2 linked regions of the Canis lupus familiaris genome follow. The protein of the gene in region 1 interacts with the protein of each later gene in a biochemical or structural test. Links are inferred from orthologs where the notes say so. Each region holds a gene or a part of one and is shown on either strand. Other genes may lie near its edges. The genes, in order: PTEN and PRDX1.

Region 1 (4,527 bases):
CCCGGGGTCCTGGGCCCGCGGCGGCGGGGGTGGGGCGGCGGGGCGAGCCGGGGGCGGGGACACGCGCGGAGACACAATGGGGGGAGTTCCTCGGGCTCACGCCGACACGCGGGGGGCGGACACGCGGGGGGCGGACACGCGAGGGACAGGCACGGGGGGACACGCGGGGGGACACCGACACGCGGGGACACAATGGCGGTGTTCCTCGTGCTCACGCCGACACGCGGGGGACGGACACGCGGGGGGCACAATGTGGGTGTCCTCGTGCTCACACCAATGCGGGAGGGACGGGGGAACACGCGCGGGGGGTGCTCGTGGTCACACCGACACGCGGGGAGCAGGCACGGGGGCAGTGGCCACGCGAGGGCCATAGTGGGGGTGTTCCTCGTGCTCGGACACGCGGGGAGCGGACACGCGGGGGCACACGGGGCGGACACAGGGAGCTGCGGGCGGGGGAGGGGCGCCCCGGGTCCGCTGGCCCCGCCCTCGCCCCCTGCGCCCCCGGTGCGCGGCGACCTCCGTCCGACTCGGGTCCCCGACGCCCCCGCCCGCCCGTCCGTCCGTCCGCCGCTGCAGGAGCGGCCGCGGCAAGTGCAGCTCCGGGGGCCGCTCGCACTGGGCATGCGCGGCGGTCGCCCCCCGCCCCTCCCCCCGCCCGGCCCCGGCCCCCCCCGGCCCCCGCCTCCCCCCGCCTCCCCCCGGCCCCCGCCTCCCCCCGGGCTCCGGGGCGCCGGGCTCGCGGCGGCGGCGGCGGCGGCGGCGGCGGCGGCGGCGGCGGCGTGGCGGGACTCTTTGTGCGCCGCGGCAGGATACGCGGCGGGGCGGGCGTGCGCGCTGCTCGGCGCCTCGTCTCGGAAGCTGCAGCCATGATGGAAGTTTGAGAGTTGCGCCGCGGAGAGGCGAGGCCGCGCGCAGGGAGGGAGATGAGAGACGGCGGCGGCCGCGGCCCAGAGCCCCTCTCAGCGCCCGTGAGCAGCCGCGGGGGCAGCGCCCTCGGGGAGCCGGCCGGCCGGCGGCGGCGGCAGCGGCAGCGGCAGCGGCAGCGGCGGGCGGCCCGCCCTCGGCCTCGGCCTCGCGCTCGCGCCCGCGCCCGCCCCCCCGCCCGCGCCCGCGCCCGCGCCCGCCCGCGCCCCCGCCCTCGCGCCCGCCCGCGCGCCCCCGCGCCCGCCCGCGCCCGCGCCCGCCCGCGCCCCCGCCCGCGCCCCCCGCGCCCGCGTCTAGCCGTGCTCCCGTCGCTCGGCGCCCCGCGCGGGGGACCGTGGAAGCCGCGGGCCCGGCCGGGCGGCGGCGGCTCCGGGGAGGGGGCCGCGGCCGCCGGCGCCCCGCTGCCCCCCCCGCTCCCGCCCGCACCACGGCGGCGGCGGCGGCGGCGCGCGCAGGGCCCCGGGCCGCCCGAGAGCCTGCCCCCCGCCGCCGCCCGGCCGCCCGGCCCCCCGGCGCCGCCCCGGCCCGCGGCCGCCAGCCCGCCTGAGCGCGCGCAGGCCCCGCCGCCGACGCCCGCCCCGGCCGCGCGAGGGCCGCCCGCCGCCAGGCCCGGGGCCGCCTGCAGCCTGCGGAGGAGGCCGCGCCGCCCGCCGCTCCTGCCGTCTCTCTCCTCCTTCCTCTCCAGCCACCGGCTCCCAGACATGACAGCCATCATCAAGGAGATCGTCAGCAGAAACAAAAGGCGCTACCAGGAGGATGGGTTCGACTTGGACTTGACCTGTATCCCTTTCCGCGCGGCCGCGGGCCCCCGCACCCGCACCGGGACCCCGCACCCGCACCCGCACCCGGGACTCGGGACCCCGCGCCCGCACCCGCACCCGCACCCGCACCCGCACCCCGGACCCCGGCCTCGGCTTCCCCGGCCCGGCCTCCGACCTCGGCCTCGGGGCTCCGGCCCGGCCTCCGACCTCGTTCCCGGCCCCGGCCCCGGCGCCCCGGCCCCGGCGCCCCCGGCCCCTCCGCCCCTCCGCCCCTCCGCCCGGCCGCGGCTGTCGGGCGGCGGCGGGTCCCGGCCCTGCGCGCGCCCGGCCCCTCCGGAGGGCCATTGTCCGCGCCCGCGGGACTCGGTGCCCCTCGGCGGACCCCGGAGCCGGGAACCCGGGCTGCCCGACGCGCGGAGGGGACGCGGCGCCCGGGCTCCGGGGTCGAGCACGTTTCGGTCAAACCTTGGCTTTAGGCCCCCAGATCGACGGCACAGATTAGATGAAGATGAAAATTAGCGTTGCACGTATGCAGATTGCATCAGAATCTCGCAGTGATTTAGTTTCCTGGGTTGCTCGCATTGATAGACTTTTTTTTTTTTTTTAATTCGTAATGGGAGTTGTGAGCTGATTTGCATAACTTTGGAAGCAGAATCGCTCTCAGCACTCGGGGCGTTCGTTGGAGGGCACAGAAAGTAGGTTCGCGTGTGCTCACGCCGAGTTGAATTACAACCGGGAACTGCCTCTCCCAAGTTGTGTAGTTCGCGATCAATAGTGTCACAGGTAACGCACGTCCTGAGCCGCTCTTGCTGCTCGGTCTTTCTGAAATTTGCCTCCCCCTCCCCCTCCCCCCCTCCCCCCTCCCTTGATGGGGTGATCCAGGACAGGGCATGGGATTTTGCAGCTCAGCCGCATTTTAGGTTCAGTGGTCTTGTCTCACGTAGCAGAATGGGGATTGACTGCTTCTTGATGCCGGAGGAGCGTGTTGTGTGGGTTCTGGGGTATTGTGTGCAGCAAATCGTGATTGCAGACATGAAGCTTCAGTTCTTCCTTGAAATGCAAGTGCCACTGCGAGTCCAGAACTGCTGCTCACCTCATCCAGCTTTCAGGACTCCTGACGCCGCGTGATGTCCGTTAATTGTACTCGGGCTCGGGTGTAAGGTCAGGTGTAATTTACCAGCTAATCACCAGCAACGCAGGCAAGAGCGGATCACTCCAGCTTCGCATGGTCTAGGTATGTTAGCTGGTTTTCCACACAGTGTCTTGAATTTACTGACTCAGGTTGTTGAATGACACAGAAACCCGAGAATTTTTAACAGGAGTATCGTTTCGGTTGCCTAAAAGTTAGGCCTTTGTACCTGAAAAGATAGCGGTTATTGAAAGGCATTGATCTTGGCAGTTTCAGGTATAATGAACTGGTTTTGATCAAGAGTTGGGGCAGAGAGCCCTCCTTTTTTTTTTTTTTTTTTTCCCCCAGAATGGAAAGTATCACAGGCGTTCAGCGTTCCTGCTTAGGCCAGTGTCTAAGGCATGAAAAACAGAATTGACTTGTGGGTCTGAGATGCCCACAGCATCTTATTAACAAGGCCTCTGTGAAGGCCAGAAGTTTGGTGATGTGAATTATAACAGTGGACGGTATTTAGTTCAAACGTGATTGCGTCGGTTGTTATTGGAGGATTCTTAATAAAGATCATTTTTAGCGAACACCAGTAAACATTTTGCCTAAAGGTGGAGTGGCGCTGAAGGATCCATATGTCCTGCTAAACACTGTGGGGAGGATTTGGTTTTTGAAGAAAATTCTTTACATCTGAAGAGGTTTTTTTTTTTTTTTTTTTTTTTTTATAATTCCCTTTGGATTACATAGCAGCACATAAACGTGCACAGCTAATTCTGCCCAAGTGTCTGTTTTGAGCTGAAGGTAAAAGTCACCGAAGAAGGAGCTTTCTAGCACACAAAACGTAAGTTTTCTGTTGATTAAAAAATTATGTATTAGAAGACTATTTAGAAGTTTTGGAGTCTGCATTGATTGCAACACTGGTCAGGCTGAACTTGACCCGCTTGCCTAGAAGGTGACCAGTTGCTGGACAACTTCTGATTTGTAATTTATTTCAAAAGCAATCTAGCGTTAGTGTGAACTGACAGCCGTCTGGGTGTATAGGAACAAATTGATTACACGTTTCTTTGACTTTTTAGGAAAAAATCCCCGTGCAAAAACCAATGTCTGTGGATGCTGTTTGGTAGATTGCTTTTATCATTCAGAGTAGGTTTATTTTTACGTTACCCATTTGCTCTAAAATAGTCAGGGCTTTAAGATTCAGATCGTTCTGCGGGGTTCTTACACAGGAGTCCTGAGCTGGTTGGCCAGCTCGCCTTTGACTTCACAGGTGTGTGCCTCCATACCTGAAATTTACGTGACCTAGAGACTGTTACTAGAAGGGTACTTTTAGTTAGGGTGTGCATAGAAAGCAGTGTCAGACGCTGCGTCAAATGACTAGTAACACTTGATTTCTAGAGTTGTGGTTTTATTGAGCCAAATATATGAAAAAAAAATCATTTAGGAAAAAGTCAGTGAAGGGCTCTTTTTTTTTTTTTTTTTTTTTTTTGTTAGTTGGACTTCCAATAATTTTGATTACACCAGTGCACTTTGGTTTGCTTGGTTTCGCTTTAGGGTTCTCTGTGTATTGTGGGGGGAAATTAAGGTGGCCATTGAGGACTTTGGCAGGTTGTAGTGTCTGCTTCAGCAGCTAGCCTGTGAGAAGTTACGTTCCCTTATGAGAGTAGTGATTGGAGCATTTCTATCTGATAAGAAAGATGAAGAACGTAGTGATTTCTCAGAGGAAAA
Region 2 (3,804 bases), on another chromosome or scaffold:
AAGAAACAAGGTGGACTGGGACCCATGAACATTCCCTTGGTATCAGACCCCAAGCGTACCATTGCTCAGGACTATGGAGTCTTAAAGGCTGATGAAGGCATCTCGTTCAGGTATACACCTGCCAGGGGGCTGACATTTCATCAAAATTATCTAATAGATGGGCAGCCCGGGTGGCTCAGTGGTTTAGCACCGCCTTCAGCCCAGGGCCTGATCCTGGAGACCCGGAATCCAGTCCCATGTCAGGCTCCCTGCAGGGAGCCTGCTTCTCCCTCTGCCTGTGTCTCTGTCTCTCTGTCTCTCTGTCTCTCTGTCTCTCTCTCTCTCTCTGTGTGTCTCTCACGAATAAATAATAAAATTAAATCTTCAAAAAAACCCCAAGCAAACCAATTGACTTGAGAGCCTTTTGGAGAAAGGTAGAGGCCTGATCTGTAAACTCTTTTTCTTTTCCCCCCCTCAGTTAATTTGCTGAACAATAATTGACTTATATCACTATATAAAATTTACTTATTTTCAATTATGTTTTTATTTTTAGAGAGGGGGCAGAGAGAAAAATCTCAAGTAGAAGTAGACTCCATGCTGGAGCTGGACATGGGGCTTGATCTTTTGACCCTGAGATCATGACCTGAGCCAAAATCAATAGTTGGATGCTAGGGTGCCTGGGTGGCTCAGTGGTTGAGGGTCTGCCTTCAGCTCAGGGCATGATCCCAGAGTACTGGGATGGAGTTCCACATTGGGCTTCCCAAGGATCGTGCTTCTCCCTCTTGCCTATGTCTCTGCCTCTCTCTCTCTCTCTCTCTCTCTCTCTCACTAAAGAAAAAAAAAAAGTTGGATGCTTAACTGAATGAGCCACCCAGGTGCCCCTCTTAGTTATTTTTTAAAGATTTTTTTTTAAGATTTTATTTATTTATTGAGACGGGGGAGGGGGGGCAGAGACACAGGCAGAGGGAGAAGCAGGCTCCATGCAGGGAACCCGACATGGGACTTGATCCTGGGTCTCCAGGATCACACCCCGGGCTGCAGGTGGCCACGCTAAACGACTGTGCCATCGGGGCTGCCCTATTTTTTAAATATTTTGAGTCCACTCTACCTAACGTGGGGTTTGAACTCACAACCTCAAGACTGAGTTGCATGCTCCACTGAGTGACCCAGCCAGTACTCCCTTTAATGTATAAACTGTACAACACGATGATTTCATTTCATTATTCCTTTAAAAAAGAAAGAAAAGTGGCTCAGTGGTTGAGTGTCTTTGTTTCATGTACACATACATTTTTTTTTTTAAGATTTTATTTATTCATGAGACATAGGCAGGGAGAAGCAGGCTCCATGCAGAGGGAGCCTGATGGGGGACTCAATCTCGGGACTCCAGGATCATGCCCCTATAAATACAATCTTAAAAAAAAAAAAAAAAAGCATAGGACTCTGATCTTGGTGTAGAGATTGGTTTTTCTTTTCACAGAGAAAGAGTCAGACACATAGGCAAAGGGAGAAGTAAGCTCCCTGTAGTGAGCCCGATGCGGGACTTGATCCCAGTACCCTGGGAACAACATGACTTGAGCCAAAGGCCAGATGCTCAACCAGTGAGCCACCCAGGTGCCACCCCTGCCCTTTTTATTTTTATTTTATTTTTTTATTATTATTTTTAAAGACCTATTTATTCATAGAGACAGAGAGAGAGAGGCAGAGACACAGGCAGAGGGAGAAGCAGGCTCCACGCAGGGAGCCCAACATGGGACTTGATCCTGGGTCTCCAGGATCACACCCTGGGCTGAAGGTGGCACTAAACTGCTGAGCCACCTGGGCTGCCCTTCTTATTTCATTCTCTATGCAGGAAGAAGACAAAGCCAGTGCAAGTCTGGGAGAGGCCAGCAGATAATCCTTTCTATTGAGTTTGTGTTCTAACAAAGCGATTTCTAAACCTGTGTTGCATTTCCCTCAAACTTTCAATCTCTTTTTCCCAGGGGCCTCTTTATCATTGATGATAAAGGTATCCTTCGGCAGATCACTGTAAACGACCTTCCTGTTGGTCGCTCTGTGGATGAGACACTGCGACTGGTTCAGGCCTTCCAGTTTACTGACAAGCATGGGGAAGGTAAGCCAATCCACCTGCTGACTTGACAACAGAATGGTAGGTAGGATAGGAAAGATGGCAGGAACAAGGTCTACCAAATAAAAGTGTCTTTTCAAGAAATTAAAATCTCTGGATTATAGTGGGTGGTTTGGTGAGGTAATGGAAAAGTTCAGGGAGGATAATATAAAGGCATTTTGTTGAAGCTGCATAGTTCCAGCTTTTGCCCTGCTCATTTAGAATCACTGTTGCAGCTGTTAACTTACTAAAGGCATGTAGGAGGATCTCCTAGGTGTGTAGAAGGGCAAAACGAAAAGTTTGAGAATTCCATCTTGACATATAGCATGCCATTCTTGACAAGTGTTTATTGGGAGAAGAGATTAATCCCTTTGATCCATATTCGTTGTACTGTTTTTGTTTTTGTTTTTTAAAGTAATACATGGCCCTGGGCCAAAGACAGGCGCTAAACCGCTGAGCCACTCAGGGATCCCCCCCCCCTTTTTTTAAAATTTAATTTATTCATAAGAGACCCAGAGAGAGGCACAGACAAAGGCAGAGGGAGAAGCAGGCTCAATTCCATGCAGAGAGCCTGATGTGGGACTGGATCTCCAGGACCACAGCCTGGGCTGAAGGCAGTGCTAAACCACTGAGCACCTGGGCTGGCCCCCCCCCCCCCCCCTTTTAAAGAGTTATTCATGAGAGACAATAGGCGCAGAGACACAGGCAGAGAGAGAAGCAGGCTCCATGCAGGGAGCTCCATGTGGGACTTGATCCCAGGACTCTGGGATCTACGCCCTGGGCTGAAGGCAGGTGTTTTTCCTCTGAGCCACCTGGGCATCCTAGGTTGTAGCTTTTTGAGTTTTACCCCCTCTTGGAGTGGAGTATAGTTGTTGATAGAATGAGACAGTCTTACCCTAAGAGTGAGTTTAGTTTTTAAGGGCTTAAGTCCTGAGGCTGCAAGTGCTTGGTCTGTGGGGTATGGAGAACCTCATAAGCTCTCAAATTTCATGTAACTGAGGACAAGATAGTTACAATGAAGTGCTACTGATGTCGGATGAAGTGCACAGGTGTACTTGGTTTGAATTTGCCTTAATACTTTTTCTTTTAGGTGATAAATATTTCAGACTAATTTTCTAAAGCCCATTTCAGCTCTGATTTTGTGATACAGAACATGGAAGTTAAGAGTCTGAATTAGTGGTGTCTGTTGGGGGGACCCAAAAGTAGTGGCTTGCCTAGAGTGAAAAGCTAACATGGATCAGTGACCATGATACCCAAAGGCACCATTTGCTGCAGCATGTGTGGACTCTTAGTGTATTGAAGCAGATAGATGGCTGCTGAGACTGCCCCCTGGTGGGGGATGAGATTCAGCACAAAGACTGAGGGAGCTGGAGAGTGGCAAAGTCCTTTGTTGGACTTTTACTAGTTCCTTGCATGTAGGCTAGACTTTTTTTTTTTTTTTAAGATTTTTTTATTTAGGGATCCCTGGGTGGCGCAGTGGTTTGGCGCCTGCCTTTGGCCCAGGGCGCGATCCTGGAGACCCGGGATCAAATCCCACATCAGGCTCCCAGTGCATGGAGCCTGCTTCTCCCTCTGTCTGTGTCTCTGCCTCTCTCTCTCTCTCTCTGTGACTGTCATAAGTAAATAAAAAAAAAAAAAAAAAAAAAGATTTTTTTATTTATTCGTGAGAGAGACAGAGAGAAAGAGGCAGAGACACAGGCAGAGGGAGAAGCAGGCTCCAT

What was found.
Region 2: the proteins of PTEN (region 1) and PRDX1 form a complex in vitro, tested with the Homo sapiens proteins (2 studies listed by BioGRID and IntAct). The link is inferred for Canis lupus familiaris from reciprocal best matches to the Homo sapiens genes PTEN and PRDX1.

What each region holds. Positions count from the first base shown.
Region 1 is NC_049247.1:38,116,744-38,121,270, forward strand, and holds the start of PTEN (phosphatidylinositol 3,4,5-trisphosphate 3-phosphatase and dual-specificity protein phosphatase PTEN), read left to right. Parts: upstream 1-1,517; 5' UTR 1,518-1,625; coding exon 1,626-1,704; intron 1,705-4,527. UniProt on the Homo sapiens protein: Dual-specificity protein phosphatase, dephosphorylating tyrosine-, serine- and threonine-phosphorylated proteins.
Region 2 is NC_049236.1:14,937,028-14,940,831, forward strand, and holds part of PRDX1 (peroxiredoxin-1), read left to right. Parts: coding exon 1-110; intron 111-1,958; coding exon 1,959-2,089; intron 2,090-3,804. UniProt on the Homo sapiens protein: Thiol-specific peroxidase that catalyzes the reduction of hydrogen peroxide and organic hydroperoxides to water and alcohols, respectively.